Notamacropus eugenii: one gene and its partners. The protein of the gene in region 3 purifies or fractionates together with the protein of the main gene of each other region. This does not show direct contact. Links are inferred from orthologs where the notes say so. Each region holds a gene or a part of one and is shown on either strand. Other genes may lie near its edges.

What was found. The genes of interacting proteins can lie anywhere in the genome.
Region 1: the proteins of PPP4R2 (region 3) and TIPRL purify together in Homo sapiens (affinity purification with mass spectrometry; 5 studies listed by BioGRID and IntAct, counting the BioPlex papers as one, with this or other methods). This does not show direct contact. The link is inferred for Notamacropus eugenii from reciprocal best matches to the Homo sapiens genes PPP4R2 and TIPRL.
Region 2: the proteins of PPP4R2 (region 3) and DHX38 purify together in Homo sapiens (affinity purification with mass spectrometry; 3 studies listed by BioGRID and IntAct, counting the BioPlex papers as one, with this or other methods). This does not show direct contact. The link is inferred for Notamacropus eugenii from reciprocal best matches to the Homo sapiens genes PPP4R2 and DHX38.

The regions. Positions count from the first base shown.
Region 1 is NC_092873.1:478,322,571-478,330,565, forward strand, and holds the start of TIPRL (TIP41-like protein), read right to left. Parts: upstream 3,001-7,995; 5' UTR 2,736-3,000; coding exon 2,632-2,735; intron 1-2,631. UniProt on the Homo sapiens protein: May be a allosteric regulator of serine/threonine-protein phosphatase 2A (PP2A). Isoform 1 inhibits catalytic activity of the PP2A(D) core complex in vitro. The PP2A(C):TIPRL complex does not show phosphatase activity.
Region 2 is NC_092872.1:711,877,477-711,885,449, reverse strand, and holds the start of DHX38 (pre-mRNA-splicing factor ATP-dependent RNA helicase PRP16), read left to right. Parts: upstream 1-4,973; 5' UTR 4,974-5,180; intron 5,181-6,601; 5' UTR 6,602-6,620; coding exon 6,621-6,949; intron 6,950-7,349; coding exon 7,350-7,537; intron 7,538-7,760; coding exon 7,761-7,865; intron 7,866-7,973. Other genes in the region: TXNL4B (thioredoxin-like protein 4B), read right to left, coding at 1,729-1,894, 2,985-3,136, 4,011-4,142. UniProt on the Homo sapiens protein: Probable ATP-binding RNA helicase. Involved in pre-mRNA splicing as component of the spliceosome.
Region 3 is NC_092874.1:450,208,376-450,215,731, reverse strand, and holds the start of PPP4R2 (serine/threonine-protein phosphatase 4 regulatory subunit 2), read left to right. Parts: upstream 1-4,337; 5' UTR 4,338-4,681; coding exon 4,682-4,715; intron 4,716-5,287; coding exon 5,288-5,369; intron 5,370-7,356. UniProt on the Homo sapiens protein: Regulatory subunit of serine/threonine-protein phosphatase 4 (PP4). May regulate the activity of PPP4C at centrosomal microtubule organizing centers.

The sequences.
Region 1 (7,995 bases), on a different chromosome or scaffold from region 3:
CAGCTAAAGCCCCACCTTCTGCAAAAGTCTCTCTTAGCCCTTCATGTGAGACCCAATTTATTCTGTATATATCTTAATTGAAAATAGCTGTTTGCGTGTTGTCCACCTGATTACAGTGTGAGTTCTTTGGGAGCAGGAACTGTTTTTGTTTTGTTTTGTAGACCTTTTGTTATATCCCCAGAGCTTAGCACAGTGCCTGGCATACAATGTTAGCTCAGTAACTATTATGGCAAGTATCAATAGCATCAACTCACATAAACAAAAGCTACTGGAGGAAGGTCCTCAATAATCTTTAATAAGAGTATAAAAGGGTTTGAGAACCACTTTAGAGAATAAGCTCTATGATAACTATTTTGGATTCTCAGAGGATGTCTCTAAAAAGAGTCCTATGTTGCATTCGTGATGGCTGAAGTCACTGAACTGCTACTGTACCCAAGGATATATTCCTATATAAAAACTGTCCAAGAGTCCCTGACTATTACAATTGAGAGAAATGAATATTTCTCTCTCATATTAATAACCAATCTATTTCATCATTCCCTGTAGGTCATTCAATCAGTTTTAAAGGGCAGGACTGATAAAGAGATGAAGTCTTGAACAGACACATCCACTGGGAAAACTCAGATCTGATCAAAAGGTGAAGAGATTCTAATCCAGTAAAATCTGGCCCACAGTGTTTTAGTCAGTCAAGTCTGATTGCCCTAGGTGGAGGTAGTCCAGATAAGAGATCTGTCCAAGATTGAGTGACATCCGCCAGCCCCTCGTTCCAATTAACTGACTCTTATTATAGTATTAATTCATTAAACCAATCAAGAGTTGGTTTCCAGCCTTAGCAGCACCTAACTCTTCTTCTAGGGGCATGTAAGCATTGAGTGGGTTCTATGAGAGGTCTTTGGCAACTAAGAGTGCAACTGACCCTTTTATATGTCCCTTAGACTTTTTATATGTCACAAAATTCAAAATTGTCCTTCTTACAATTTCTCTAAATCTTATCCCAAACATATCTAATCAATACCAAACTATAACCTGTCAAAAGCTGCCTCAGTATTTAGGAGGGCAAGGAAACGCAATTCAATTACCATTTAATAAAGCCTCTATTATATTACAAGACACTGTGATGGGTGCTAGAAATAAAAAAAAAAAACAACACCCTACTCCATGTGCAGGGGAATCTGTTGTGTATTTCAATACTTCAATAAATCTGTAATTCCATGGATATGGTATGAACCTTCATGGTATGAACCAAAATGCACTCAGGCTTTTCATCCTATGCAATTCTTATCCATTGTCTTCAACAGATCCTCCAGAGAAGAGCCCTATTATATGATACAGATCTTTTTACATCTTCAACATATCACCAGAAGATGTGAGTTATCTGTTATCCCTTACGTTCCCACCTACCATCATTTCCTCAATTGATATCCACTTGAGCCAAGCAGGCAGAAGTCAAGACGGGAGAAAAATGAAATATTCTAAGGGAAAATGTGAGGAAGAAAGTCCACTTCACTTTCAGAATACGCTGAGATTTGTTTTAAGAAACCAGTTGGAGGGCTGGCTACTTATAATTACCTAGAAATAAGGGTACCACCTCCCATTTCATGTCTGGTGAGATGTATTCTCAACATTGCCAATTGTACAAGTATGCAGAAATCACTGCCTAGGAATAAAATTTGTGTTGGTTGTTCTGGGGCATTTTTGGAAGGGGGAGCAGGTTAATTTTGTTAGTACATGGAACTCCCAGTGTGAAAACTTACTCCAACAACTCAACTCCTAGTTTACATTCCCAACAGTAACACTGACAGACTGAATGATTAGCGTCAAAAGCAGCATGTGGATAATGACAACGTAAGAGATGCTCTCTACGAAAAATGTCTGTTTTGAGTTGGTATTTTTTTATGCATCCTTTTGTTCTGGGTCAGAGCCTGCGCTTTCTTTCACTGTGGAGAACTCTCCCTACCAATGTACACAGACAACTCCTCATTTATAGTCTAAAACAGTAGCCTGAAACCACCAGCCTAGAAATACTACCCAAGAATAAAGTTTGGTTTTGGTTAGTGTTTGTGGTGGTGTTTGGGGCTCCTGGGGGAGGGAGCTTCCAGAGAAAACTCCTTCTCCCCAATGCAAATGAGCACCTCCTAATCTACAGTCCTAAATAACTGGCCCCATGTAGCAAGGCTACTCAGGCTCAGGGGCTGGACAAGAATCCGGGTTTTCTGTGGATTGGGGATGCAGAGCTGGAAGATGCCGAGCTTTGCCGTCTGGCCTCTGGTCTACAGTCCAGACGACATGTGACCCAAGCCCCTGCACTTACAGAGGTCCGGCGCTCCTTCCCGGACCCACGCGGACTTAGCCCGCCCCAGACTCCAGGGCCAGGGGGCAGCGGGAGGGGGCGGGGGCAGGAGCGCGGCCCAGAGTCCGTCAAACCGCGGCCGCGCACGCGCACTCGGAGCGTCCAGGGCAGGGCCCCGCCGGCAGTTCTGCAGCCGCCCGAGGGAGGCCTCGAGGTCCCGCGGGGGCGGGGAGCGGCCCCGAGAGCGACCGCCCCTCCCCAGTGCTGCTCATGCCCGCGCCCGCGCCCGCGCCCGGCCGCCCGGCCTCGACCTCTCCTCCCCCGCCCTCCCCAAACCTCACTTCTCCACATCGGCCGACTTCATGATGTGCGTCTTGGCCGCCGTCAGCTTCCACGGCCCGAAGGAGAAGTCCCGGCGACTGCTCTGGAAGCCGTGGATCATCATGGCCACGGTGGTGGCGCGGAACCAGCGCGAGCCGCGGCGGCCTCCCTTCTCCCCCGCCCCCACCTCCCCCTCCTCCCCCGAGCCGTTACCATCCCCGGCCCCGCCCCGCCCCGCTCCGCTCCCCGGCCCGGCCCAGCCCAGCCCACTGCCTGGGCCCCTTGCTCCTCCCGCCTTCCTGCCGGCCCGCCTGCCCCCGCCTTCTCCTTCCGCTTCCGGGAGCAGGTTGCCTGCGCGACGAGGCTGCGACGCGCCGGAAGTCCTAGGAAAAGGAAGGAGGGGCGGGGCTGGGGGAGTCGAGAGGCGTGGCCTGGACCCGGGGAGCGGGCGCGGACTTGGTGGCATCATGGGATGATGTCATCGCCAGCCTTTCCGCAGGCGGGGGGCGGGGCTCAAGAAGTAGCCTGAGGTGCTGGGTTTTCATTGGTGCAATTTCCCTACCCATCACTTTCCTTTTTTTGTTTGTTTGTTTGTTTCCTATAAAATGTGATCTACGGAAGCTTCCCCTTAACTTCCCAGAGGAACGTTCCGAGGTCCGTTTGTTCTCCAGGCCCAGGATGGAAATCAGGCTCCGTCCCTTTGTCAGGGTCCAGAGGGGTAGAAGCCCCCAAGGACTGCCCCTCTACAGCCTGGCATCTCCCTGGATGCCCGGAGGGAAGGAGCGAAGGCCAGGCGAGGCTGAAGCTGACTTCGTCTTTTTGGAAGATGCCCACGGCTCTGATTATGCGGACAATCCAGAGAGGTTCCTCTTAAGCACGTGGTTAACCTAATGAAACAAAGTAACAAAACTTTCACACGCGATTACGTCATCCTGATTCTCCCATAAGTAAGCCTGTAGCATCCTCCATAGGGAGAGGTGGCCTCGAGCCTTCCCCCTAGGAATACTGCCGTGGAGGGTCGGTGGGGCGAAGGGTGTTGCTTAGACACAAAAACACATGGATTTTATCCAGTTTACTAAGTTCCTGGGGGATTTAGAATTTTCTTATGCCCAGAAGTCACAAGACCAGAATGCAGAGGAACTCTAGGAGGAAATACCAAAGAGGGTCTGTGGGCAGAGCCGGTCCACCCCTCCTCTTCCACTGAAACGTCAGGGAATGGCCAGGAAAGAGCATTGCCCATCATAAAAAGCAGGGTAAAGAAGTGAAGTTGACACCTCATGGGGTGGCTGAGGGTGGACCAAAGTTGGAAAAGATGGTTGGTTCAACAAACTTGGGTGAATTGGACAGACCACTGGAACCTAGTCCGAAGCACTTTTCTCTTTACCCCTCTGAAGCATTGCCTGGGAGGAGTCCCAGGCTATCAGTCCAACTACTTATCCTCCCATTTCCCCTTGTACAGTTAGGAGGGAGAGTATAGGTAAAGGGGAAAAGATTCAGTTCTCCCATTGCAATATTATAGCCTATTAATCGAAGGAATGTTTATTTGAATCATATGCTAGTTGGAACTGCTTTTAAAGTGGATAGTCATTTACATTGATTTTTAGTCCAAGTCATTAAGTGCATACTTTGGAATTGAAGGAGGGGAGCCAACTCAAAAGAGAGAGATTTTCCTCAGCTCAGAGTGAGATGGGAAGCAAACCAATTATTTAAAAAAAAAAAAACTGTAATAATAGTCATCTTTGAGATATCCACAACCTACTTTTCTTGGGAACCCAGAAAGACAATTAACAGATAAATGAGCCAGTAGCAATGAGAGGTAGAGGTTGTGGTACAGATAATTAGGCTGCACAAGTACGCAGCAAATCTATGTGGCTACAGAACCATGGAATATTGGAATACTCAAAGGTAGTTTAGATATCTGGCCCAAATTCCCATGCAAACACATGCATTCCTTTTAACACTATTCCTGAAAGATGACCTAGTCACCCAAACTCTTTTTTTAGCTCCTTCAGTAATAATGAACTCCTTATCCATTAACAGAGCTGTGAGGCATGTTGCTTGCAAAAGAATAAGACAGTAACTGATAAACCCGGGAAGGCATTTTATTTTGTCCTTTCAAGAGCAGGTAATCTAAACATAGGCACACTTGTTTAAGGCAAATATACAATATTTATACCTCACCCCAATTCCCATTTCTCTCCCTTGCTCCCATTGGTTGGCAGTAGCTGGGTTCCCAGTCTATCCCATGATACTTAAAACTCCACCTCTGATTACACTTCACATTTCAACCCCCCATCACCACATTCTCATTTCCTTTATATTTTGGCAAGTCATAAATTCTTTCAAAGGAATGGCCTTAATTGATGTACAGTCTTTCTGGCTGACTTGAAAATTTGGTTAAAGAGGCAAACAGGCTAGGTGATATCTTAATTGAATAGGTGGTAAACACAATAAGATAAAAGAGTTGACAAAGTGTCCATTGAAATTACAACCCAGGATATCTGCATTTTCTTTACCATTGACATGCTATATAACATAGTATGGGTCCATAAGATACTAAGAAAAAGTCCCGTTATCCAAGATAGCATCTCAGGTTAAGGGTCTCATCGTTAATGGTCATAAACAGAAAAAATGGCTGTTCTTAAGTCAGCCCCATCTGGCCTTGTTGACATAGGAAGAAGTATTCTCTGAGTTTACTCAGAGAACAAAGAAGCTGTTAGGTCCAGGTTCTTCTTCTGGTTGATTAGTCCAGGCTCCGACCCTTATTGAGAATTCAAAATGATATTAAATGATTATCACTGGTGTTACAGATATTACATAAGTTCAGTTCATCTCTTACAGAGCCTATTATATTGTTAGACAGGTTTAACTGTTAGACTGTTCATTCTTATGTTGCACCACAATCTGCCTTAAAATTCCATAAGCAACACAGACTAAATCTCTTTTCTCATATTACAAATATTCAAATGTTTGAAGACAAAAATCATGCCCCTCCCAAACTGTCTTTTATCTAAGCTAAAAAAATTGTAAAAGCTCCTTAAGCTTTCAATGTTGAACGTTACTGCTCTTATATCTACTCATATATTCTTTTCCTCGTCCTCATTCTATCTGGTAGGATAGCTCCAAGTGAATGAGAGTTAGGTGAGGTTCATTTGTTTTATATCATACATAATGTAGTGGTAAGCCCAGATAAGGAATCCCCGACTAATTAGGCAGTGTTTACTGACTAGGGTGTGTGGGGATTGATGGTGGGGTTTCACAGAATCAAAGGTCATTCATTATAGCCTAGAACTGGAAGGTACAGGATTTGAACATACTTGTACCCAGCAATACAAACTTCCTCCAAAGATCGAGGCTCTGTTCACTATAATTGCAATCCAACCAAGAATGCCTAAGGCATTGAACTTGGAGTAATTTATATTTCTATAAAATATAGAATTCTTGATTGGATTGTGGAAATGTCTTGTGGGTTTAAAAACATGAAGCATGTAAAATTGAAATTTGGTGAAAATTTAGGAGTTGCCTACCATATGGTAAGCTCTTAATGAGGTCTATCTGAGTGGGGGAGCAAGGGGTGGAAAAGATAAAGTGGGGGCAGAAGAGAGGGAATCTCCTGAATTATGGCTAATATGTAATACAGGGCAGGTGGATGAGTGGCTAGGTTATGAGCTGGGTAAGCCTGGAGTTGTTACATTTTCAGAAGAAATCATATCACTCAAGAAGAGGATAATGACTTATGTCCAACAATACCTCAGAACCTTTTGGCATGCTTAGCAGCTCTAGTGAAAAAATTAAAAACATATGAATTTATGGGATGATGGGGACAGAGGTCATACAAGGTAGGCAGGCATGGATAAGTTATGATCTTTATGGGAAGGATACCCACATGGATGTATTGGCTTGATTTTATTCAGTTGTTTTCAATCATGTTAAACTCTTGATGATCTCATTTTGGGTTTTCTTGGCAAAGATACTGGAGTGGTTTGCTATTTCCTTCTCCAGGTCATTTTACAGAAGAAGAAACTGAGGCAAACAGGGTTAAGTGATTTGCAAAGTCACACAACTAGTAAGTGTCTGAGGCCAGATTTGAACTCAGGAAGATGAGTCTGCCACTCTGTCCTGGCAAAGGCCTTCTTCTAGTCAAAGAACTGGATCTACTTATTTGAGGAGGTCCCACATTCTTCTTGAATCAGTTTCCCGCCTGAAGAATCTCTCCATTGAAGATTGGTCATTGACACCAATTCCCACTTGCAAGCTGGCCACAATACATCAAAAGAAAGTTTGTTTATTGTTGTTGTTGTTTTTAAAAGGAGGGGAAATCACAAATATGTTCTGTAACAGGTATATTACAGTAACCCAATGTTCCACTTCACCAGTCCAAGGAGGCACCGCCCTCTAGTGTTCTCTGCACCAAACTTCTCCAGGCTGATGTCATTGAGACTCTAGAGTACCTCCTGTTTCTCTGGGTAGCCTAGGCAATACTAGGCAAAGGACAAGAATTTTTTATTTTTTGAGCTCATACTTGCAAGCAATGAGATCATAAATACAGGGTTAAAAGGACTTTGGAAGTCGGCTAATCCAATCTCCTAATTTTTCAGACGAAGAAACTGAGACACAGGGAGGTCGAGTGACATGACCTATGACCATATAACTCAAAAGTTTCCAGTGCAAGAGTTAAAACCAGGTCTTCTTGACTCCAGATCAAGGACCCTATCCATGGTTCCATGTTGCGTGTCAATGGTAATTTCCCATTGAGGCTAATCCTAGCTTCCCTGCTTCTGTTAATAGCATCATCATTTCCCTAGTCCCTAAGGCTTGATTATACTTCCGCAAAATCTCTGACATCTCATCCTTCTTTTCCCTTTTTAATACCAGCACCCTAGTGTAGGGTCTTGTTGCCTGTCATTGGAACTTTTGTAACAACCACCACATTTGTTGATTGTCACATTCTCTCTCCCTTTCAATTCATCCTTCATAACACTCACAAAGCAATCTTTCTAATGCTCAGGCCTGATTACATCACTGTCCTCTTCAAAAATCTTCAGGAGTTGCCTATTAAATATTACCTATTGAATAATAAGAAAGATTCTTTACCTACTATTCAAGACCTTCCACAGTCTGGCCCTCATCTATCTTTCCAGTTCTAATCTCAAAGCATGCCCCTTCAGGCATTCTATCCTCCAATCACTCACAGTTCTTTATCCCATACATCTTGCCAATATTCTATGACTTTACTCAAATGCCATCTTCCATGCTTGGAAGAAACTCCCTCCCAGATCAACCAGTGGACATCCTTTGCTTCTTTCTCTAGTTCATTCCTGATCCTCTCCATGATCCCCATCATTCTAGAATCATTTAAGCTTTTTGGTTTGACCTCTTCTCTA
Region 2 (7,973 bases), on a different chromosome or scaffold from region 3:
AAAGTTCTTCATTTACATCTCACTGAGTTTAGGTCACAGATAGCCCAATACCACCACTTGTCTAATCCTACTGCCCTTTTCAAATTACACTCACCGTTTTAAAGTATAATCTCCCACCATAAGACACTATTGTCTTCACAAGACCCATTATGTTTCCCTATTAGATCTCCTTCATATATATGTGTATGTATGTGTGCATATATATATATATATATATATATATATATATATATATATATATGTATATCTGTTATCTTCAAATATCAGTTGTATAATAACTTTTAAAAGCTTTGGAGTGATAAAACCAGCAGAAAGCAATTATTTTTATTTTATTGGCTATCATTCATTCAGTATTCAGAAGGAATGTAATTTTATAGAGAGTTACTATTTACTTTATTTAGAAAGGGGCATAATGGAAGTATCCTTGGATCAAGGAAGACCTGAACTTGAATCTTGACTGTATACACACTGGCTGTGTTGCCCTGGGTGAGTCGCTTAAATTTTTGGTCCTCCAGGGAACATTTAAAGAGAATGAGTTGCAGAGAAAGTGCTACCTGCATTGGGAGAGGGAATTTCCTCATCTTGGAGTTAACATTTGGTAAGGAAATCACAGGTCCAGTCCTTATTCCCCTCTATGAAGGCACTCAATTAAGAACTATTTGTGGAAATTAGGACTCCAAAGAAGCACTCCCAAAAATTCTCAAGAAGAGATGTGACTAATGATCCTTATATAAATGGGGGTATGGTGTTTCTTGAGGAAGGAGGGTATATCACTGAGGGTCTGAAAGAATGAGAGATTCCAGAAGTCCAGAAGCCAGTAAGAGGCATTCCTTAAGGCTATTACTAATCCAATGCAGTTTCTCCTTCTTTTGAGCCTTGGGTTACTATGGGAGAACCATTATATGAAAGGTTTAAGCATGGGCTTGAATCAGGTGAGGTACAGAATGGTGAGAATCTGAGCCTCCAGCTACCATAAGAACCACCACCTCATACAGACCAGTATAAATAATAATTGTTACTTTATGCTGTAAACAAGGGCACTGTTGCAGAAATTTACAAAGATTTCAAGCTATTAAAACACTACAAAGGTTCTAGAACAAGATTTGCCTTCAGCAATGAGACTCACCTTCCCTCTTTCTCCACCCCAAGCTAGAACAGAAGACAGGATGAAAGGGCAGCAACTGCATAGCTGTATAGGGGTCTAGTCTCATTAGGGACTTTTAAAAACAAGGGTCACGGAACTACAGGTGACCAGAAAACGAAAGTTCCTTTCTGTCTAGAGGAGAAAGCAACTTATCATTTTCATCCTTGATCTAATAAGCATAATTCAATCTGAAACTACATTCATTTGGGGGAAATGACAAATTGGGTCAGTAATATTCTCCTAATGCAAGAGAAAGGGCAAGTTGGTGGAAGAGGGGGTAGGGTTAAAATTAAGCCTGAATCTACGACTGATTCCATTTAGCACAATTTCCCAAATGTGTGTAGATCATAGAAAATTAGGGGTGCAAGGTATCCCCAAATATCAAGGAATTTCAATATGATCTCTTAATCAGAGGTCTGATACCACTTTAGAATTTGATATAAAAGTCCAAACCTCTTCTGCCCTCCTCCCCTCTCTGGTGTGTGATCTCTTCAGGAAAATGGGGTCATGCAACAACAGGATATTTGCACGTATGTGTTGCTTCAACTGCATTTCTCTCTTCAACTTCCGTTGGAGTAGCTGTTTTAAATGCCTTGGTAAAGAAGGTCATATTGAGGAATGTTCTTGGGATCGATTGGACTTTGGACGATGAGTTTTCCCCGCATTGCTCCTCGATAGATTACTTCAACCAAGTCTATGAAGTCCTGCTTAGTCTTGAAGCTTCCCACAAACTTAGTGTGGTCTGGAGACCTAAAGGAAAGGGTGTGAGAAGCAAGAACCCTGTTTGGAAGCACTTCAAACCAGTGGACTGAAAACCTTCTGAAAAATGAAAACGACAAACTACCATCAGGGAGATTTTGGACACAAGCTCAGTGTTGGCCTTGACTGCAAATACGGCTTGGAATAAAATTTGTTAGGGGGCTACTTAGAATAGCAGTTTTGCATTTGATTTAACTCCAAGTCTGATGTAAAAGGGAATGAAAAATTTTCCAATTACATTTCACTGTCCAAAGCATTTACTATACAAAGAGCATGAGTAAGCAGACAGGATCCCTAAAATGACTTGGAGTTATGCTTTTAAAATACGCAATAACAAGATAGACAAACAACTCAACTGCAGCAACAGTCAATTATATTGACTACAAAGATAATGAATTGGAAATAAATGAAAGAGTTTGCATTTTGTATAAGGAGCACTGCTATCAGTTATGTGTTAAGGAAGGATATTTAAATTATAAAATGAGGTGTACTATATTCTTTTGTAAACAGAAATTATTGGTCCTAGAAGTTTAGAAATATTTAAATATTTTAGGTTAAAGAATTCCTCAGTACAAACAAGAGTTACTTATTATCTGTCAGATTCAAAATTCTGATAGTATTTTACAAATTATTCTGTCACTCTATGCTGAAATGTAACCAACTTAATAGGAAGTAGACATTTACCCATGATATTCAGGAAAACTGCTGCTTCTCATAAAAGTGTTAAATTGTACCTTTAGATTTTTTAAGATGCTGTATCCTTCTCTCTTCCAAGGGAAGTGTATACATTATTTTTATAAATATATAAAGGGAAGGTATGTATATATTTTTTATAAATATATATCAGTACATTTTTCATTATTATTATATTATTTAACTGTGAAATGCTTAGCAAAAAGCTAAGGTTTTCAGGAAAAAATTTAAATTTTTCCTTGAAATGAGGAAACTTAGAGAGAGGATACTAATTGGGGAAACACCAGTTTCAAGATTTAATTATTGCAAGATTGACATGTGACAAAAATCATGTTTAAACAAAAGCAAATAAAAGAGTTTTGATAGTGCCAATGTCAATTTCACTTACCCATAATCCACTTTCATATGCTGCCCATTGAAGAAAAAGATAGTAGATGGAATATAACTGATGTCAAAATACTGGGTGTAAATTGGTGTTTGGTCCACATCTACCAGATATATCGCAGCCATTTTACTTAAATCATGATAAGTTTTAGAAAGCTGTGGAATTGAAATAAGATAGAGGTTATAATACAGGAGGAAGCTAATTGTTTTCTGTGATGTGTTTCCGAGTAGTGTGTTAAAAAAACACTGTAGCAAGGATAAATAAAATTTAGTTTTGATGTTAAGCTACATGTAACCTTTCTGTGGGAGAACCTGAAGCTGTTCACATACATTCCTTTTTTCTCAGGGGCAGCTGGTGGCAAAGTAGATGGTGGGCTGGGCCAGGAGTCAAGACAACCCGAGTTCAAATCTGGCCTTAGGCACTTATTAGCTGTGTGACCCTGGGTAAGTAACTTAATCACCGTTTGCCTTTGGTTCTTCAAGTATAAAATGGGTATAACAATAGTACTTTTCTCACAGGGCTGCTGTGAGGATCAAATGATTATCACAGTTGGTTCTTAATAAATGCTTATTCCATCCATCTGCTTTCTCTTCCTGTCTACAATTTACACGTTGATGGTGACAACCAGAAACACTTCCCTCATCCTCTCCTTCCCCTCTCAGGCATCTACTCGGAATGAAATGAGCCAACTGTGTCAATATATTTCCAGAGGTCCAGCAGTGTGGGCAGATATGGGGAGAACTGCACAGATGACAATCATGGCGCACGTTTTTCTGGCCACTACCTTCATGACAATCACTTCACATGTGGATAGTGGGGAATATGCACACACATGTATTACACTTACGTATTGGAATATGTATAATACACAACATGTATCATACATTACAAGTTATATGCTATACGTTACCATATTAATAAGATATTATGTAATACTACATACGTGTGTGTATGTACATGTGTGCATATATCTATCTATATACACATACACATGTATAACCCAGAGAATTCCGTGTAAAACACACTCACGATGTCATCTATCTGCAGACAGACAGGGTCCTCGTCTCTTCCAAATCTGAGCACCAAAACCTTCTCCGCAGTACTCTTTATGGCCTGGTCTACTTCTCTTTTGGAGGCAAGCTTGGGCAGCAGGAGGCTCATCCTGAACCGGGGCAAGCCTTAGTCGCGGCCAGCAGACCAGATCGAGCCGCAGGGTCCGCGCTGCGGGACAGAGGAGGACGTCCGGAGAAGGCGTGGTTCAAGCCCCTTAGTACAGACACACAGACACACGCACGCTCCCTCCGACCCTGGGTCACACGAACCGCTAACCCGGCGGGAACGCCTGCGGACACCCCACATTCAAATTCATACGGTCCCCAAAAGGCCCCGACCACCCGGCCTTGTCACCTCCCTTCACAAAGATCGAAATTTCCGTGGAAGCGCTCGTATAAATAAAAATAGCTCACATTGATGTCACTTAAAGGACTTTCCTGATCCTACAAGAGAAAAGAAATCATTAATGTAATAAAGGCCGCTCGGTGGAGCCACCCCCTGCCGCCAGGAAAGTCAACCTCAGCCCGGCGTCGACGCGGCACCGCCCCGAGCCGCCGTTGCTTAGCAACCCCCGAAAGACAAATTCTAAGGCGGAGGTCATGGGTGAGGAAGCGGAAGACTGCTTTTAACGCGCATGCGCACACAAGCAGCTTCCACCTCGAGTTTCTCGGGGTCGGTGCGCGCTGCGCGCTCAGGTTCCCGGCTGTCTCCGCTTCTCAACTGACGGAAGACACTACTCTTTTCCTCTCACGCACGCCCGACCGGAAATCACCGAGCTTGAATCGCTTCCGTCTGCATTTGCCAATCAGCGGTCCCCCAGTTCTGACGGTACCTCCCAGGGCTGCCTCGCGTCTGGATTCGGGTGCGTACGATTGGCTGTCAGGGAGAGTCGGAAGTCTCTGTGATTGGGGCGTAGCAAGAGGCCGCTCTAGCGCCAGCGTCCCGGTGGCGGGAAGCTTAGTTGTGGCTCAGCTCTATGGTTCTCGGACAGCTCTCGATGGTTCGTGCGGCTGGATAGAGCGGACGGCGCGGGGCTTTGTGGGACGCGAATGGCCGCTTGCGAGACTCCGTTCCACTAGGTTGTGAGCAGACGGATGTGGGGCAAGTAGAGGAGCGGCGGGGCCTCGGAGACCCCCGGGCGGCGTGGTGAGTGATCTCTTCCTCCTCCCCCCAGGATCGGCCCCGCACGGGGCTGCGGACCAGGGGTCGCGTTGGCCCGGGAAGTTGGGGACGCGTCCCGCAGAACCTCCTGCGCGTTTCCGACCCGCCTTTCTTTACCAAGGCAGCCGGCCTGGGAGGGAGAGAGGCCGGGGCCCGAGGCCAGCGGGGTGGCTGTGGGCCGGCAGGGTCACGGCCCTCCCCGCCCCTCCCCAGTTACCCTCGTTTGGACGCGTCTGCTTTGCGTTGAGCCCCCAGAGCTGATCGCAGTGCCAGGCCCTGAGTAGGTGCTTAATAAATGCTTGCCATTGGCTGAGAAAGCACTTAATTAATGCTTGTCGACGTGTTCTCGTGGCATAGTTCCCTTGCTCGAGACCCAGACCCCCACCCCTTATTATTGAATTTACCATTTCATGTATGTTTGAAAAAAATTCCAGTGCCTGGAAAGGACCCTAGAGGGCTTCTGGTCAAACTCATTTTACAGATGAGGAAACTGAGGCCCAGAAGCGTCATGAGGGTTGCTTGAGCTCACGTAGCAGGTTCAGATCCGGCCGTGATGTGAATGCCCGTCTGTGAAATGCCCTTCTGCAGAGCTGTGGGTGTTCACGGGAGCTGAGCCAGTAATTTAGGGGTGTCCCAGGGCCCAGGGTGCAGGGCAGAGCTGGTAACAGCCTGTCAGGCATTCCAAGCAAGCGTGCTCTGTGGAGAGGGTCAGGCAGAGTCAGTTGTGCCAGCTTTACTGGGACACCTTTCTTTGATTCTGAGCCTTTGTTTAAGTGAATTGTCAGGTCACCTGAGTTATCACAGACTGGTACATGCTGAGGGTCACTCTTGTTCTGTAGGTAGCCTCTTTTAGAACACGTATCTGATGAAACGTGGATGATACTGTGCGCTGCAGAAGGATTTGCTGCTGTTAATTTTTTGGATTTTGTGTTAGAAGGGCAGAGGAGGGGAAGAGGCATTCTTTTAGTGCCTGTGGGGAATAGGTCGTGTGTTTATTTTGTTTTAATAAAGCTTATGCTTAGTGAGTCCTCCCTCTCTTGGATAGAGGACAGTCCTTTCGGGGTCTTTTTGTATGTGTGGGTTGGGTCTAGGGATAGGGGTGGGGAACCTACCGGTCTCTAGGTCCTCGGGTGTGGCTTTTTGACTGAGTCCAAGTTTTACAGAACAAATCCTTTTTTTTTTCTGTGAAGTCTGGATTTGATCAAAGGGCCACTTGAGGACCTAGAGGGCTGCATGTGACCTAGAAGGCCACATGTGGTCTAGAGGGCATAAGTTCCCCACCCCTGGTCTAGGCCAAAAGTAATTGAGGAGTGTGTACTCACTACTGAAGCCATTCTAGGGAACTCTAAAGCTCATTTGTTTTCCCTCTTAATGGCTGACGGATGCCGGATGATTTGCCTTTTCAGAGAGTTCCCTAAGCCTGTGATGGAAGACGCCAGTGATGAGGGTGAGGCCTCAATTCATCGGCTAGAAGGCATTGACCAAGAGACACAAGTTGGTGGCCTCATTTGCAAGACCAAAAGTGCTGCTAGTGAGCAACATGTTTTCAAAGCCCCTGCACCTCGTCCCTCGTTGCTGGGGTTAGATCTGCTGGCTGCATTAAAACGGAGGGAACGAGAGGAAAAGGATGATGGGGAAGATAAAAAGAAGTCCAGGGTCTCTTCCTACAAGGACTGGGAGGAAAACAAGGATGAACAGAAGGATTCTGAGGAGGAAGGGGGTGACCAGGCGAGCCGAAGCAGCAGGAGAGACAGGTAAAATCACTTGGGTGGTAGAACGAAAAGGGGATGCACTGGTGGGGGGACACTGTAATAACTTGTCTTTATTCCTTAGTTTTTTTTTGGAAACGTCGTGTCCTCCATGAACACCAATTCTTAAATTATTGTAATGATCACAGAAAATTTGGCATTCTCATCATGCCAGTTGGGGAAAGGGAGACTTTTAAGAATAATTACTAACTAAAGATCAGGTGGAAATGTGGATAGTTAAAGTGAGACTAGAACCCAAATCTCTTCTGACTTGGTCAGTGCTACCTACAAGACTATTCTTCTGGGAAGGTAGCAGGACAAAGGGTGAAATACTTGTTTGGAGCAACCAAGAGCTTTTAGGGACAGAAGTCTCTTAGTGGCAGTTTCCTCTCTCCTCTTGGTTCAGACATTATCGAGCTGCCCGAGTAGAGACACCATCGCATCCTGGTGGTGTGAGTGAAGAGTTCTGGGAGCGCAGCAGACAGAGAGAACGGGAAAGACGGGAACATGGCGTCTACGCCTCCTCCAAAGAAGATAAGGACCGGAAAAAGGAGAGAGCTCGGGATCGAGATTATGACCGGAAGAGAGAGAGAGGTAAAGGCTTTGGCTTCTTCCTGGGAGCAGTGGGGAGGTCTGTCTTCCCTCAGGGGGAGGCTGTGGGCAAACCAATGCTGTGCTTCTACATCAGTGATTACCAACCATCTATTAAGTGCTTCTGTGTGCCAGTCACTATGCTAGTCACTAGGGCTTCAAATAGAATAAAACAATCTCCACTCCCAAGGACTTTACATTCTAACATGTGCCCCACTTTTGGAAGATGAACGGGACAGGAGTCGGCACAGCAGCCGATTGGACCGAGATGGAGGCTCAGAACGGAGCAGCAGGAGGAGTGAACCAGAAAGCCCAAGACATCGACCAAGAGGTAAGCTGGATGGTTAGCATGTTGACATAAGAGCAATCTTCGGGTTTCAACTTTCTAGTCACCTAGAGTATTCTGGCTCCAGATTTCTGGGGCAATAGAGTTTAGGTC
Region 3 (7,356 bases):
CCCTGCTATGTCTTCTCCATGTGACTTTGGGCAAATTATTTCACCTCTCTGAGACTCAGTTTCTTTATCTGCAAAAAAAGGAGTGGCGGGAGATTATGGATTAGATTATCTCAGGGGTCTCTTCCAGTTCTAAATGCTATTCTCTAACAACGTTCCCCATTTTAAGTGCTCCCTGGTTGGGTGGGTGTGGGTAATAATGGAAATTGGTCCCCTATTTGTACAAGATATTGCTTACTATATATATGCAAGTTAGGCTGGGAAATCTTCAAGGTAGTCATTGGTAATGAGAAATACTTTGTGGAGAGTTAATGAAAAATCAAAGATTAGACTTATCAGTTTGGGTAAAAATTTCAGTGTAGGCATTATGTTAGCACTTCTCAATTGTCCTGTACTTCTCTCCTGCCATTCCTCCATCATTCTTCTTTTCAAATTACCTCTTATTTATTTTGCTTATGTCTTGTTTATAGTGTTGTTTCCCCAGAAAGAATATAAGCAACTTGTGGGAAGGGATCCTTTTATTTTTGTCTTTACATTCCTGATACCTAGTTGAGTCCCTGGCACATAGTTTTGTTTGTTTGCGTTTGTCCTTTGTTGCCAAAAAAGACCATGCCATCAGATAAATGATGACATGACTTGCACTTGCCTTTGTTTTGAGTGAGGGAGGGCTGTGCAGGTCACCAGCCTCACTTCTCCTCCAGAGCCATCTGAATCCAGTGACCAGATATTCATCGGGATGACTGAAGATGGCCCAGGATGCACTGGGAGACCTTGGGCCCTTTAGGACAAGGTCTTTGTAGGTGCTCACTTAGGATGAGGCAATGCCCATTTATGGAATAGACCTGTTTAAGAAGTAGCCAGGGCATGGACCCTTTAATGAGGCCAAGAAAAGACATCAGGCTGGGAGGGAAACAGCAATAGTTACTATTGATAATCACTATAAAGCTAGGAGGGTCCAGTGGAGCCCTTAGGCAGGGGCCCACTGGTGTCCCAGCTTCAGAGTGTAACAGGTTTAAGGTTTTGGGAGAGGACAGAAGAGGGGAAGGGAGAGGAAGGGGAGGGGGGAGAGGAGGGGAGGGGAGGGAAGGAGCCAGTAAAACCCAAGTCAACTTGGGCATCTTTTGGCCACCCAAATTTACCTTCCTTTGGAGAGGAGAAGGAAGGGGAGGGGGAGGCAGACAGGAGAGGAGGAGTTAAGTTATCCAACTAGCTGAGTCCTCATTCAGCCGGTTGCAGTTACACAAGATGAATGTAAGGGAGTATATGTATGTCTAACTCTAGGATACATATGATTGGTCAGAAAGTAGTAAATGTCATTATGACCCAGTACACAGCTAGTTCAGTCACTACACAGCTGGTTCAAACTAATAAATTCTGTAAGTGCAACTGGCTGCTGTAGCAGGAAGGGAGGTAACAGTTTTTGCTGAGGTAGGTTGTTCTTGGGCTAGGAAGAAACTGACTGGGATAGTGTTTTGAGACTAGGGAGAAATGTGATTTTTGAGAAAAATGTGATTTTAGAATTGGGGTTCAAGCACAGGCATCCAGACATTATCATAGGCACTGGGTTAATTTAGCACACTCTTTTGTAAAGAATGCATTAACAGATAACTACTAAGCTAGGATGCAATTTTCATAGCAATTAATATAAACTTACAGTTAAAAATAATTCTGATTTGCCTGGGATCAAATATAGCATTTTTTTTTGTCTTTACCACCACAAAAAATCTAATTAAGTGCCTACTATGTGCCAGATACTGTGCTAAGTGCTGGGGATACCAAAGAAATAAAAAACAAACAGTTCTTGCTTTCAAGGAGCTCACAGTCTAATGGAAGAGAAAAACATGCAAACAACTCTATATACAAACTAGATATATACAGAACAAAGTGGAGATTATCCACAAAGGGAAGGCACTAGTGTTGAGAAGAATCAGGAAATGCTTGTAAAATGATTGATGGTAAGAATTATAGCATTGAAGAGACTCTTCTATGGTTTGGTTTGTGTGTTCTCTATGCCTATTGGACTGAGTGGGATTTTAGATAAATCTTTACCTTTCTAAGGAATATTAGTGTAGTATAGACACAAGAGACCAACTATATGCCTCCGATTTTTGCCTACGTGAGAAGGAAGTCTGTTGCCCCAGAAAATTTCCTTCAGGAAAGCACGAAGTGCATTGACTGTCATCTGAGGTCTAGGGCAGATGCACATTCTTAGTCTCTGCCATGTGGCGATGTCAGCATAAGGGACTGAGCTATACCATGCTTCCCCACCAACAGCCATGTTGATGAGGTTATGAGTCTGAACCCACACCAAAATGAATCTTTGGAAGAAGACTTCAGTGGAGGGAGATCTCTGTGATCCTGAATTCAAATCCAGTCTGAAATACACACTAGGTGTGTCACCTTAGGGAAGTTACTTAACCTCTGTCTGCCTTGGTTTCTTCATCTGTAAAATGGGGATAATAATAGCACCTACCTCTTAGGGCTGTTGAGAGGATCAAATGAGATAATATTTGTACAAAGTGTGCCTGGCACATAGCCAGTGCTATATAAATGTTAGCTATTATTGTATTATTTTTATTTCTGTTAAATATTTCATCTAATTAAACCATTATAAAGCCCTCCTGTGGAAGAGCTCTGTCTTGGCCATCTTTATTATCCCCCTCAGTGCCTAGCCCAGTGGTTTGGAAGGGTCTCCCTCAAATCTAATTCACTTGCAAGTCAAGACATCAAGACATCTGATGTCACAAGAACAAAGGATCAGCAACTGTAACAAAAAGGTGTCTATCCTTTGTCATCCTGGGTCCTGAAGATCCGCTCAGGAAATAATGGAGGCGCTGGGTAAAGAGGAGGCACTCAATAAATGTTATAGTGTTATAGCGTCTCTAGAATTCTTCCACAGTATTGTCCTTCACACACATCAAGTTCCAGCCAGATTGGTTTGCTTGTTGTTGTTCCCAATGAAGTCTCCAAGTTATAAAATATCTATTGATATGGGCTCAGAGGATACACTTTTTAAAATCAGTGTTATCAGTCTTCACAAATGACCCTAGGAGGTAGGGGCTTTACAGTGGAGGAAACTGAGGCAAGGGGCGTTAAGTGACTTGTCCAAGCAAGCTTCCTATCCTCTCTAAGCCAAATGGGAATACTCCTACCGCTTCCCTCCACTGTGTGGAGAATCCTAGCAGACAGACTGAGTAAGGTGCTTGCAGATCTGGATACACTAAATGAGTTATTATTAGTTCTGGCTCCTCGCGGGACGTCCTCAGTTTCAGGAAACCAGTTCTAGCATCAGGTTTGCATCCGAGGTGCGGTCCGTAGGTCAGACGAGGGAGCTGGACCAGATTGCTGCAGCCCCAGCTCCTAGAAGTGTGGACGGCGGGAGGCAGGAGGATGGAGCCAGCAGCCGGAGGTCCCACTAGGGAGATTTGAACGTGGGTGCCCTTCCTGGAGGCTCCACCTCTGAGACTGTGATAGCGCACAAGGGCACTTAGTGTTTACGGAAAGAAGGAAGGAGGGAAGGAGGGAAAGAAGGAAGGAAGGAAGGAAGGAAGGAAGGAAGGAAGGAAGGAAGGAGGGAAGGAGGGAAGGAAGAAGGAAGGAAGGAAGGAGGGAAGGAGGGAAGGAGGGAAGGAAGAAAGGAAGGAAGGAGGGAAGGAGGGAAGGAAGGAAGGAAGGAAGGAGGGAAGGAGGGAAGGAAGGAAGGAAGGAAGGAGGGAAGGAGGGAAGGAAGGAAGGAAGGAGGGAAGGAGGGAAGGAAGAAGGAAGGAACGAAGAAGGAAGGAAGGAAGGAAGGAAGGAAGGAAGGAAGGAGGGAAGGAAGGAAGGGTGGGGCTAGTCCAAAATCCCGACATTGGATGGATGGGGAAATTGTGGCAAGGAACGTAACCACATGGTTAGGCAGCAATCCCCGATCAGCATTTATTAAGCACCTACTATGTGCCTGGCACTGTACTGCAGGCCAAAGACAGCGCTGGCCCTCGAGGGGCTCACACTCGATTGGATCAGAGGTGGGATCTGAACCCAGGATTTCTGCCCCCAGACCCGGTGCTCTTCCTCCCGCGGTTCCCCTCCTGGGCCTCAGTTTCCCCAGGTGTCCAACCCAATCGCGGGCGGGGGCGGGAATCCAGGCTACACGTGCCCAGCAGCTGCCGGCGCTCGCAGCCTGGCTCTGGGCCGGGGGGGCGGGGCCTTGGCGCGGAGGCCCCGCCTCCCAGGTGTGCTTCCGGCCGGCCCGGGGCCCTGGCCCCGCCCAGAGCCTGTGGGGGCGCGCCGGGGCGCGGGGCCGCGCTGGGCGGCGGCGGGGACGAGGACGGCGGCCCGGGGAGCGTGCGCGCGGTGACGTGCCGGGCGCCATGTTGGGGAGCTGATTGTGGGCGCTCGGGAGGTGCTCCGTCGCTCGCTCGCTCCTCTCGCTGCCGGTGCCACCGTCGCCTCCGTGTGTGTGCGTGTGTGCGCGTGGGGGTGTGCGGTGTGTGTGTTCGAGAGGGCGAGTGTGCGGGCGTGTGTGTGCGTGAGAGAGAGGGGGCCGGGACGGCGCGAGTGTGCGCGCGTGTGCCTGCGTGTGTGCGGCCTGCGTGGGGGCGCGCGTGTGAGGGCGGCGGGGGGGCGGCGGCGTTCCGGGCCCGGGGACTCGGGACTCCGCGGAAGGAGGCGGCGGCGGCGGCGGCCGGGGACGCGGGCCACCATGGACATGGAGAGACTGCAGGAGGCGCTCAAAGGTGGGGGCCGGGGGAGGGGGCTCCGGGCGCCGACCCCCCCTCCCGCCGGGCCCCGGGGGCAGCCCCGCCCCGCCGGGAGCTTTGTGCCGGGAGCCGTCGGGGCTGGGGGGGCGCCGCACCTCTCCCTCCCCTCCCCCCCGAAACCCGGGCTGGGGGGAGGAGGAAGAAAGAAAAAAAAAGGGAAACCGGAGCCGTCCCCGCCCCCCACTTGTTGGCCTCCTCGCGGACGGACGGACGGGCGGCCGGGAAGTTTTCGGACGGCCCGGCCCGGCCCGGGGTGCCCTGGGGCCGGGGGTTCGCGCGTTCCAAGCCGCAGGCTGGGGGTTCGGGTTGCCAGGGAGAGGCTCCCCGGGCTGGGGAGGGGGCGGCCCCCGGGTCCGTCCTGGGGTGCTGTTTGCCCCTGGCTTTCCTGCTTCCCTTGAATGACAGGGGGACGGACTCGGGGAAAGTTTCCGATTGGAAGGAGCCTGGGGTGGGGGGACGACGGGGGCGGCCCCGGGCTTGCGGGGGTCGCGGAGACCGGGGGTCGCGGCCTTGTAACCGGTCCTTTTCTGTCTCCATCCCCTGCCCAGACTTTGAGAAGAGGGGGAAGAAGGAAGTGTGTCCGGTGCTGGATCAGTTTCTTTGTCACGTCGCCAAGACCGGGGAGACGATGTGAGTTCAAGAACTTTATTTTAGGGGCTAGAGGAGGGCTCGTGGTCCGAGGCTGTGCTGGAGTTAGTGCGAGAGTTCAACACCGGCCAGACCTGGACAGCTAGGCTCCCAAGTCCGCTGGCGTGGAGCGGCCCGTCCTGGGAAGCCTGGCCGAGCTGTCATCCCTGCGAAGCGTCTTTGTAACGTTCCTCATTCTTTCCTTTAGGAGCCGGGCTCTTGTTCGCTGCCTCGTGTCCCGTTTGTTTGGGGTTAGCCTGGGAGACCCTGGCCCCAGGAGTCTGGGGAAGAGTTGGTTAGACTCGTACTTTGTGGTCCTGAGCCTGAGACTTCACTCCTCAGTGCCCGGGGCACTTTCCTTTGAATTGGCCGGGGTGTCTTGGTGGGGCTTCCAGAGGTTCTACTTGAGGAATTCCTTGTACTGATGATTCAATCCGAGGTCCTGAAACAAGTGTGCATCAGTGAAAAGGAAGAAATGCCCTCGCGTTCTTTTGGTCGTAATGGGAAGAAACCATTTCTTTTCATTTTGTAATTAAATTGTCTTTTGTAGGTAACATTTTCTTCAAACTGGTGTCTGATCTGGTGTAATGTTGTTAAGTGTGAAGCCCCGTATCTGTTGGTTTTTATTTTTCTTGGGTTAGGGAAAGAGGCAGATATTTTATTAGTGACATTTGCTCCTGTTTTCATGTGTCCTAGAAACTTTTTAGGATAACTGACTTGTTACACTCAGCATTTTATTGGACACTTGACCTGAAAGTCACCTTCATTTTAAGAGTTGGAGGATGTTTTTATCCATATCATGTGTAGATGTTGGTGTGTGTCACAAGGATTTGTTTTTGTGCTCTACCTAGGTTAATCTCTGGAAAGCTGAGCTGCATTGATGACTTCCTTGTTGTCTCAGTTTTTGGCAGGAAGGGGAAAGGTTTCTTTGGGTGCCATGCTAGGGAATAAGCTCTCTTTCTGGCTCCTTACTCAACTCTTGATTTGAGGCCTAGTACAAGATTATAAGCTTCAGCAAGTGATAGGTTCTTATTTTTATCAAGTATTGAATTCATACAGGATTTGTTCGTACTTGTATACTGTATCATTAACAAGTTTAATCTCAAAGAGAAAAACAGAACTTTAATGCTTAAACTAATGAACCTGTTCTAAAAGGTTTTTAACCTTTCCAGAATTCTGCTAAAAATGTACCAGTGAGTTGAAAGGTGACTGTCCATTTAGAAAAAATGCAGCTTGAGAAAGATATTTGCCTTAAATGCTATAATGTTGGGCTGTGTATGTACTGTAATTTTGAGAAATGATGAAAAGTAAATATACAGTAGGTACGTTATTTTACTATTTAGTTGAAGACAAGCCTAAAAATTATTAAAGTTTTGTTTGCTTAAGTACATTGATTTCTAGAATATCACTTATACAGGCTCACATTTTTAATCCTTATAGTTTGACTGATCAGTTAAGCCAAACATCTTTATCTCAGCAGGACATTTCAAAGGAAAGCAGTGGCATTGTTCATGGTCCCAAAACTTCTGAAGCTTTCCAATAGATAATTACTACTAATACCATCTGTGAGTAAATATATAAGGAGACCAATAAACCTGTCTGAATGATAAGATGGTGTTATACCTAGTTTTAGGATTTTTTAATTTATAAATATGGTAAAGAAGCCAATAGGCAGTTCTTTGAAAATTTCTTTTACTGACTCACTATTTGAATATGTCTATTTATTTGGAAATTATTTTTTATCCCTATTAGGGAATTTAAATGAATTTAGTTACCACAGTAAATATTTGTGAAATATCAACATCTGGAGTTAAAACAATCAGTATTTAAAGCTATTCATTCTGAGATTGTGGAACATTTTGTTTTCTTACCACACAACCAAGACATGTTTATGCTTTTTGCTTAGCATTTAATTTTTTCCCAGAATGGGTATGGATTAACTTTTAGTAGTGAAAGAGAAACTAAAATATTTGTATACCTCTTTTCCTCC